Arabidopsis thaliana: one gene and its partner. The protein of the gene in region 1 interacts with the protein of each later gene in a pairwise test. Each region holds a gene or a part of one and is shown on either strand. Other genes may lie near its edges. The genes, in order: AT5G49400 and AT5G27860.

Evidence for each region.
Region 2: the proteins of AT5G49400 (region 1) and AT5G27860 interact in a two-hybrid assay, tested with the Arabidopsis thaliana proteins (one large-scale study listed by BioGRID).

What each region holds. Positions count from the first base shown.
Region 1 is NC_003076.8:20,028,716-20,032,828, forward strand, and holds AT5G49400 (zinc knuckle (CCHC-type) family protein), read left to right. Parts: upstream 1-1,936; 5' UTR 1,937-2,097; intron 2,098-2,434; 5' UTR 2,435-2,438; coding exon 2,439-3,266; 3' UTR 3,267-3,568; downstream 3,569-4,113. Other genes in the region: AT5G49390 (serine/threonine-protein phosphatase 4 regulatory subunit-like protein), read left to right, coding at 1-75, 242-373, 456-560, 643-1,109, 1,201-1,345.
Region 2 is NC_003076.8:9,874,152-9,878,718, reverse strand, and holds AT5G27860 (uncharacterized protein), read left to right. Parts: upstream 1-2,218; 5' UTR 2,219-2,276; coding exon 2,277-2,488; intron 2,489-2,864; coding exon 2,865-2,928; intron 2,929-3,011; coding exon 3,012-3,074; intron 3,075-3,273; coding exon 3,274-3,318; intron 3,319-3,400; coding exon 3,401-3,457; intron 3,458-3,558; coding exon 3,559-3,651; 3' UTR 3,652-4,001; downstream 4,002-4,567. Other genes in the region: AT5G27850 (Ribosomal protein L18e/L15 superfamily protein), read right to left, coding at 4,422-4,567.

The DNA of each region.
Region 1 (4,113 bases):
CTTCTCACTCGAAGAAAGGAAAAAACCCTAGTGGCTGCAGCTGTTCGATTTGTCCGCACTCTCCTCTCTGTCCATGTAAGTAAAGTAGTCTTCGATCAGCATTTTTTCTTATAGGCTCATCTGTGCATTCTCTCTTGAGAATGAATTAGACAATTGATTCTATAATGGCTAGAAAATGTTCTCGGATGACAATAAGTCTTTAGGTAAGTTATGCAATTTCTAAAATATTGTTCTATTTCAGAATGATAATGTCCAGAGTTACATTGTTGAGAACAACACGCTGAAACCGATTATCGAAGTTTTTGTTGCTAATCGTCATCGGGACAACCTGATGACTGCTGCTGTGTTGGAGCTTCTTGAGCACATACGCAAGGTTCCTATTATTTCATCCTTTTCTTCACTGTTTCTTTGGGGTGTTCCTCTGTACATAATACATATTACTGTTTTGTGTGCAGGAATATGCAGTGTTGGTCAAATACGTAGGTGATACATTTTGGGACCAGCTAGCTCCATTTGAGAACCTGCGTTCCATCAAGGATTTGAAAACGAAATATGAGAAGGTATCATTCTTCGATCTAACTTCTACTTTGAAAAGTTTTCCTAAACTATTCTTTGTTTAACAATGTGTCAATGTTGTCTTAGGGACCAAAGAGCACCACTGATGATGAATCTGATATGAGACAAGATGGGCGTGCTCTGGATGAAAAAAAGCCAGCTTCTGCTTCCAGTACACAGATGGAAGAAGCTGATCCCCATAATTCCAATGCCACAGCTGCAAGTTCTGCTTCTAGCACACAGATGGAAGATGCTGAGCCCTATAATCCTGATGTCACAGCTGCAAGTTCTACTTGTAGCACACAGATGGAAGTAGCTGAGCCCTATAATCCTGGTGTCACCGCTGCAAGTTCTACTTCTAGCACACAGATGGAAGAAGCTGATCCCTATAATCCTGATGTCACAGCTGCAAGTTCTACTTCTATCACACCGATGGAAGTAGCTGAGCCCTATAATCCTGATGTCACAGCTGCAAGTTCTACTTCTATCACACCGATGGAAGTAGCTGAGCCCTATAATCCTGGTGTCACAGCTGCAAGTTCTGTTTCTCCGAGGTATTTGTTTCTGGTTTCTCTCGATAGAAATTCATTAGAAGCAACAAATATAGTTAATAGATTTGCTTTCTGTTTTCTATTAATCATATAGCAAGAGGTCTGGAGGTTTGGTTGATTATGAGGATGACGAAGATGAGCTAGAGAAGAGTAAAAGACAGAAGCTCAGTTCAACAAGTGAAGGAAATAAGAACACCCCAGAACAAGGTGGTGAAGCTAAGGAACCTGGAGAACTCTAAGGAGCTAATGACGATAGCAATAGTTTAGATGAAGAAATTGACAGCAAGCAGATGTAAAGAGATGTTGAGATTAACATTCTTGACAATAGATAGGATTTTTGAAGAATAGAAGAAACTGTGTATAGAGGGTTAAAATGATGCTTTTGAAGACAACTCGATGATCCGTGTAAATGACTATGCAATTGCATTTTGTAAATGAATCTTGTGTGAAAATGAAATTACAATTTCTTAAAGAGAGACTTGGAGGATTTCATCATACACCCGAGGATTTAAGATAATTTCAGGCAGGTGTTTCTGTGTATATATATCAGATTTTTTTGAAACAGGTAATGGGTTGTTTTTGTTTGTAGATGTCTTGATAATTTCCGTTTCTCTTGATGTCCACATTTACCATTTACCTCTAATTGATATCATCAACTCAAGCGTTTTTACAAACACCAAAAAGCGCCTATTTGCATCATACAGTATAATTAAATAATTCAAAGTTCAAACGATGAAATTTCACACATATTCATATTATTTAATTCAATTTGATATATCTTCATAGAGAAACAATTTGTAATTTTAGGAAAAAAAGGAAATAAAAAAGGAGTGAAGGACTTGAGAGAAAATAAGAAAAGAGTTTGTGAATAATCTTTTGTCTTTCTCTTTCGTCTTCCTCGCTCTAACGCCGCCTTCTCACACTCTCAAATTGGCTCATCCATTCCAAGCACGCTCCTTCGATCTTCCTCTTGGTACGCTCGTTTCTAATTGTAAGTTTTCTTCAACTCCTATTCCAACGTTTGTGTAGATCTTGTATTCGAGCAATTAGATCGATAAACCCTAGTTTCTCCGTGGATATTCTAGCAACTTCCCCTAGATTTCTCCGTATATAATCGTAAGGATTTAGAAATCGAATTATATTGTGATGTTTAGTTAACGAAAACCCAGTTTATTGAATCGTCTCCATCAAGTAGAATCCCTAATCTTAGATCCCCTGCTTAGGGTTTCGAAATTTGTCTATTTTGTTCAGCTTTATACTGATTCTATTTGTCCAATTTTGAAGATTTGATTCTAAGTCTCTAGTATATTCTTTGTTATGCAATGCAGAAACATGTCTAATTCAAAGGACGAGAAATCACAAGATGCAGCTGATAGAATCAAGGCTGCAACACTCACTGCTGCTAAAGGTCTAAGCCGTACACAAGCGGAGAGAGCAGCGGCTGCAGCAGCGAGAAACGTTAACGCTTATGGCCAGAAAGAAGAAGGTCCGAGTAGATGGCAGGAGAAAAGAGAATTAAAGAGGCAGATGTATTTGATGAGTACTGAGAAAGCTGTCAGGCTTGGTGAAAGGAAAGATAAAACAATGTCAGCTTCAGCCGTGGGAAGCAGTGCTTCGGCGGCTTCACAGTGTCAGAAATGTTTCCAAGCTGGGCATTGGACTTATGAGTGTAAGAATGAAAGGGTTTATATCTCGAGGCCTTCGAGAACTCAGCAGCTTAAGAATCCTAAACTGAGAACGAAGCCTTCTGTTGATGATCTTGATGGTAGTGATGATGATGATGAAGAAGAAAGGCCTGATGCAACTAATGGGAAAGCAGAAGTTGAGAAGCGATCTAAGAAGAGTAAGCGAAAGCATAGGTCAAAGTCTGATTCTGAAAGTGATAGTGAAGCCTCTGTGTTTGAAACAGATAGTGATGGCTCATCTGGAGAGAGTAGTTCAGAATACAGTTCATCGTCGGACTCAGAGGACGAAAGGAGGAGGAGAAGAAAGGCCAAGAAGAGCAAGAAGAAGCAAAAGCAGAGGAAAGAAAGGCGAAGAAGGTACAGCTCTTCTTCATCGGAGTCATCTGAGTCAGAATCAGCTTCGGACTCAGATTCTGATGAAGATAGAAGCAGAAGAAAGAAGAAGAGCAAGAGGCACAGCAACAAGCGTCGTTGAATTGGTTTTAGGAAATCGATAAGTGGATGAAAATTTTCATGCCTTAGAATCATTTTAAGCTTCTTAAAGGAAACTCACTGCTATGTTACTTCTTTTTCTTCAAGTTCGATTTTTTCTTTTTGTCAGCCATTTATGGCTTTATGTTGTAACAAACTGATAAATCTTTAGAATCTCCTCAAGTTTTCATAGCTCAATAGCTCCTTGGAGAATGTTGTAAACCTAAACGAAATACCTTTGTGTTGTTATGATAGAGAGATTTTAGTGACTGTTGGTTATAGCATGCATATATTCGAAGGATGGAGGAGGTTTTTTGGCATTCAATGGAAATTATCTATGTACTAGATACTCTGTAACAAAAAAATAATAACCACATCAATCCAATACTAATTGGAAAGTAATCAGTTCAAACAAAATTAAAATCATCCCCTGAAACATACAAATATGTGTAATAAAGTCAAGGGCTTCTTTTGTAAATATCCGTAATTTATCTTCCAGAAATAGTTGCATTAATTATCTCTGTGACTCTGTCCCCAGTCTCCTTCCTCACAGACTGATCCCTCTCTCTCCCAAAGTTGCATTAAGTTTTAAACTAGTACAAAGTCTAAGCTTGGAGCTTCCACTTTGTGTTCTCCTTGAAAAGTTTTTACCTTTTTTCAATCTCTGTTGTTGATACACCTGTAAAGCTCATATTGCACACAAAGTGTTCGATAAAATGCCTAGCCGAAACAAAAATTGCATATAACTGGTTTGTTTCTCACTCTCTATCCCTCAACTTCTTGAATTTTTTTTCGTAGGAATTCTCTAGAGGTGTTATTTAGGAACATAACGGTTTAATCGTCTCCATTTC
Region 2 (4,567 bases), about 10 Mb from region 1:
CTTGTTTCCGATGTATCTTTTGCACTTTTTACGTTTGCACTTTATTCATATATAGAAGTTTCATACAATATACAACACTTAATTTTGACTGCACCATGGTGTTTGAGGACATTCGGGTCCCTTAGCAAGTAAGTAATAGACTCATGCAGCAATAACATTGTCATAGGATTCTAGAGATGAATATGAGGTATTTGGTTGTCATTGTTTAGCTAAAAAATTAGCAAAAACATTAAATGTAAAATTCGTTAAAAGCATTTAGTTGTCCGATGAATAGCAAAAAAAAATATTATTATTAAGAGAGGGATTTATTAATACGAACTAAAATAATACTATAAATATAGCTATTTAGCTTAACTAAAGTGACTTCCACTTCCTGCGATTAACAATTCCCATAAAAAATATGTCATTGTAATTCTTGGAAACACTTTTGTATACCAAAAGACCAAGGAGAATATTCCATGATGAAGCGTTTAACTTGATCACATGTTATCATCGTCATTAGCTCAAATCTTCAAAGATCTAAAAGTACTACATCTCTTATGACTCAAACTTGGCAATCACTATGTATAGTATATATTCTGATTTAGCCACTACACTTAGACGTATATGCTTGCTTTGCTTTAGTTTAGGTTGAACCTGATGTTATTGTGTATGATTAGAAATTTTGGATCATGTATGTCCCTTGCTTGGATCAACATACATAACTTCTTTACAAAAGCTAATCAACGAATAGAAATCTGTTTAAAAAAAATGATTTGGTCACCTAAGTCACCAAAATTCGGTCAAAGATCTTAAGAGAACCCCACAGTTAAGAGTGTTTGGATGGAATAATTTCAGGATAGGTGACCTTCCTGAATAATTTGTAGGGCCAATAACAAATCTTTAAAACTTCTTAGAACGTGACACGACCGCCCAACAGTGGTGTGTCCATATATTCGAGAAGACGTGAGATCCACTGGTAGGAATTAGAGCAGCAGCAATGGTGGTATCTATTGTGAGTCCCTTATAATAAAAATAATTAAAAAGTGAGGGACAGAGGAGAGAGGGGCTCCAAAAACCCTTATTTAAGGAACAGTCTCAACACCAAATATATACATGTAGCTTTTTTAGTAGTCAAACTCTATTAAAAAATTAAAATATAATAACAACATTAGAATATATTTTTTTATTTTTTTTTTAGGGACTCTCATAGTCCCTCCCGTTGGAGGTGGTCTTACAAGTTGTCTTCGGAAAAAAAAAGTTAAAGAACAGAAAATTGATGTTTTCGTAGTAAAAGAAAAAATATATATACTAAATGACCTTTGACTGCAAGAATGAAGTAAATAACTATGGTTGAAAATTATGAGAGAGGAAAACACTTTTAGACACAATATATGACATTTTTATCCTCAACCACACATGATCTTACCTTCTTCTTCTTTCTTGCTTGCAAACTTCCCCTTCCATCGCATATCAACAACATACTTCTCTATTCTTTCTCTCACCAACACAAATCTCTCTCTCTCTCCAACAAATTTTCTCGCCAATATTTCTGAATTTTCTTTATACGTATGCCGTCGACGAATCTCTCCACCCATCTCCTTCTAGTTCTCCCTCCTCTATCACGAATCTCTTCATTTCTTTGAAACTTTCAACCTTTGTTGTTTATTTGTCCACTGGATCTCATATTATTAATACTCCATGCTATTTAACAAAGTCACATATAATATTTGTCTAACAAAACCCCATGAAATATGTAAATATTTATCATGTTATCCAATAAAAACCCATGTAATTTTGTAACAATTCTATATATTTGCTAATATTTCGTGTTTTATAAGAGAATTGCATGCATTTTATAAATATATCATACTATTTCAGAAAAACACATTATTTTAGAAAAATATATATATAGTGTATATATATCGTTTATGTATTTAAAAGAATTACATAATTTTTGTAAATATATCATGCTATTTTAAACAAATACATATAAACTTTATAACTAAAGCTAATGCTATTTTCTGACACAAGATCATTCTCTCAATTCTTTTCCATTTCATAGTTAGTTTGTAATATTACCCTAAAAGAAAAAAGAAAAGGGCAAAAACCCTAAAAATTCAATAAAACGGTAATAGCAATCAACTCCTTAATCTCTTAATGATTTATAAAACGTACCGAAACAAAACTTAATTATTATAACTAGCCCCTATAGTTATTTTAAATAAATATCTGTCTAATAAATTTGACCAAACCCTTAAGATCTAATTTTCTCTGTTTGATTTGTCCTCTCAACAATGGCGGCTTCATCATCTTCGTCTTCCTCCGACGTCTCCTCTGATTCTTCAGACTCTCATCGTCGCCGTAAGGATCGCCGTCATCATCGTAGAAACGATCGAGACAGAGACTCGCTCAAAGTACGGAAAAAGAGCCGATCCACCTCGAAAAAACGCCGTAGACGCCAACACTCCTCCGATTCCTCTGATTCTTCTTACTCCGATTCCTCCAGGTCCGTTGATTTCTCGTCAACTTCTCTCGCCCAATTTTACGATTGAAAACCCTAATTTTCCCGTTTGGTTTCATTTCTGGATCGGAGCACTTGATTTCACATTTTGATTTTGTTCTTTGAATGTTAGGGTTAGGGTTTGGTTACATGGAAACTGGATAAGATTATCGTTAGTGGAACTCTAAAGATTGATTTAAGCAGAATCTAGCTTGTGTTTCTTGTTTGGTTTCACATTTTGAATTTGTTCGTCGAATGTTAGGGTTTAGGGTTTGATTTGATGGAACTGGATTAGAATCTCGTTAGTGGAACTGGATTAATTGATTGATGTAAATAGAAACTAGAGAAAACTAAGAGTGTGATATTTGCGTTTTTGTCTCAGTGAGAGCTCAGATAGTGAGCATGAGAAGTCACGAAGGCACAAGAAGCATGAAAAGCCAAAGAAGGTTACTTTCTGTACTCAATTCTTAATCATGTGAAGTTTCTCTGTTATAGTGTTTAGCTTAAAAGTACCATTTTTTGTTTAAAGGCTAAGGATAAGGAACGAAGCAAGAGTCATCGTCATAAACGGCATAAGAACAGAGAAAGAAAGGTTGGCCATTATTTTCTCATTACGCTTTGAATAGATTCTCATCAAGATAACAAGTTTCTTATAATACTTCTTTTGCCTTTCTCTGTGGCCTCTTCGAAATTGGAGCTGGGGTTGGTGACATGATAAACTGGGGACTTTGTGTTATCTTCGTTTTGTTTGTGTTTATCTTTTTGGTCCTGGCAATGTGAGTGTTGTATAGAAAGGGGAAGGAGAAGGAAGTAGCGGGCCTGTAAAACTATCAAAGGTACTATAGCTATATATACCCATAAAGATCTAAAGTTTATATGAAGTCCATGTTTTATGATTCAGTTTCTTTCATGATTCAGTTTTTGAACCGCGACAAAGACGATGGTGAACGTAGAAGTGCTGTTTCAGGGAAAAAAGTTAGTCTGAGACTCTCTTTAGGGTTGTCTAATATTACACCCTACACAACTATTTTCTGTTTTCTTTTCTCACTTCCTTCTTCTGATGTGTTTGGCTATAGATTCTGCTGAAGGTTGACAAGTCCAAAGAGGACAAAGCTGCAGAGAGCAAAAGAAATGAACTGCTTAAGTTCTTAAACGCAAGTTTCGACTAGTATTTTTCGCTTTTGTCTCGATGACAGAATCTCAACAACAAGAAGAATGTAAGATGGTATTTGATTAGATTCTAGTTTCCGTATCTGTTTGGTGATTCAGATCCTTGTTTTGTTTTTCCAGAGGACTAATCCTGTCATGGATTTGTTTTACTTCTATTTTCTTGTTTAGTCTTAAAGTTTGTGTTATCGCACACTGTTCTTCTTGGAAACCCGAGAAATGGTTACTGAGATTTTATCCGTGCGTACATTAAAACCATTTCCAACTTGCAAGATTCAGTATGGAACTTTCGAGCCATCTCCTGTTACCATGGAGCTGTGTTCCAATGTTGTTGGATTACATCCACTTGTGCTGAGAAGACTTGATGCGTTCTTATTTGACAAGCTTCATTATGATTATGGATATACGATTTTTGCTAGAACCTAATAGACAACGAATTAGGTGGGTTAGTACGAAACAGAACATTTTTCAGGGTTGTTTACACATTTTAATACTCATGTACAGATATTTTATTTCCAAGGAAGAGAAATACAAAACGAAATAGACCATAATGATACTATGAACTCCAAATACTGATCAAATCCAAATTCTAGATAAAATCTCATTGCAGCTAATAGTAGTAAGATTAAAAGACAAAGCAAAATATCCAATTGTCTTGAGAATAGAAAAACAGAACTTAAAACAAAGTCTGGAACAGGGTAAAGAGGAACCAGCGTTCCCTACCAAAACTTCGATACTTAAACCAAGCAAAACGAAACCAGAAAACATCTTCTTAGACCTTGAATCCACGACTCTTTCGCTTTCCTCTAGCTTTCTCAAACTTCCTTCCCTTATGCCTAACATATGGCTTAGTGTTACTGTGTGGCACACCAGGAGCAGGTCCGAAATGCTTCACTGCTTCACGCGAGTTCTTTGGTC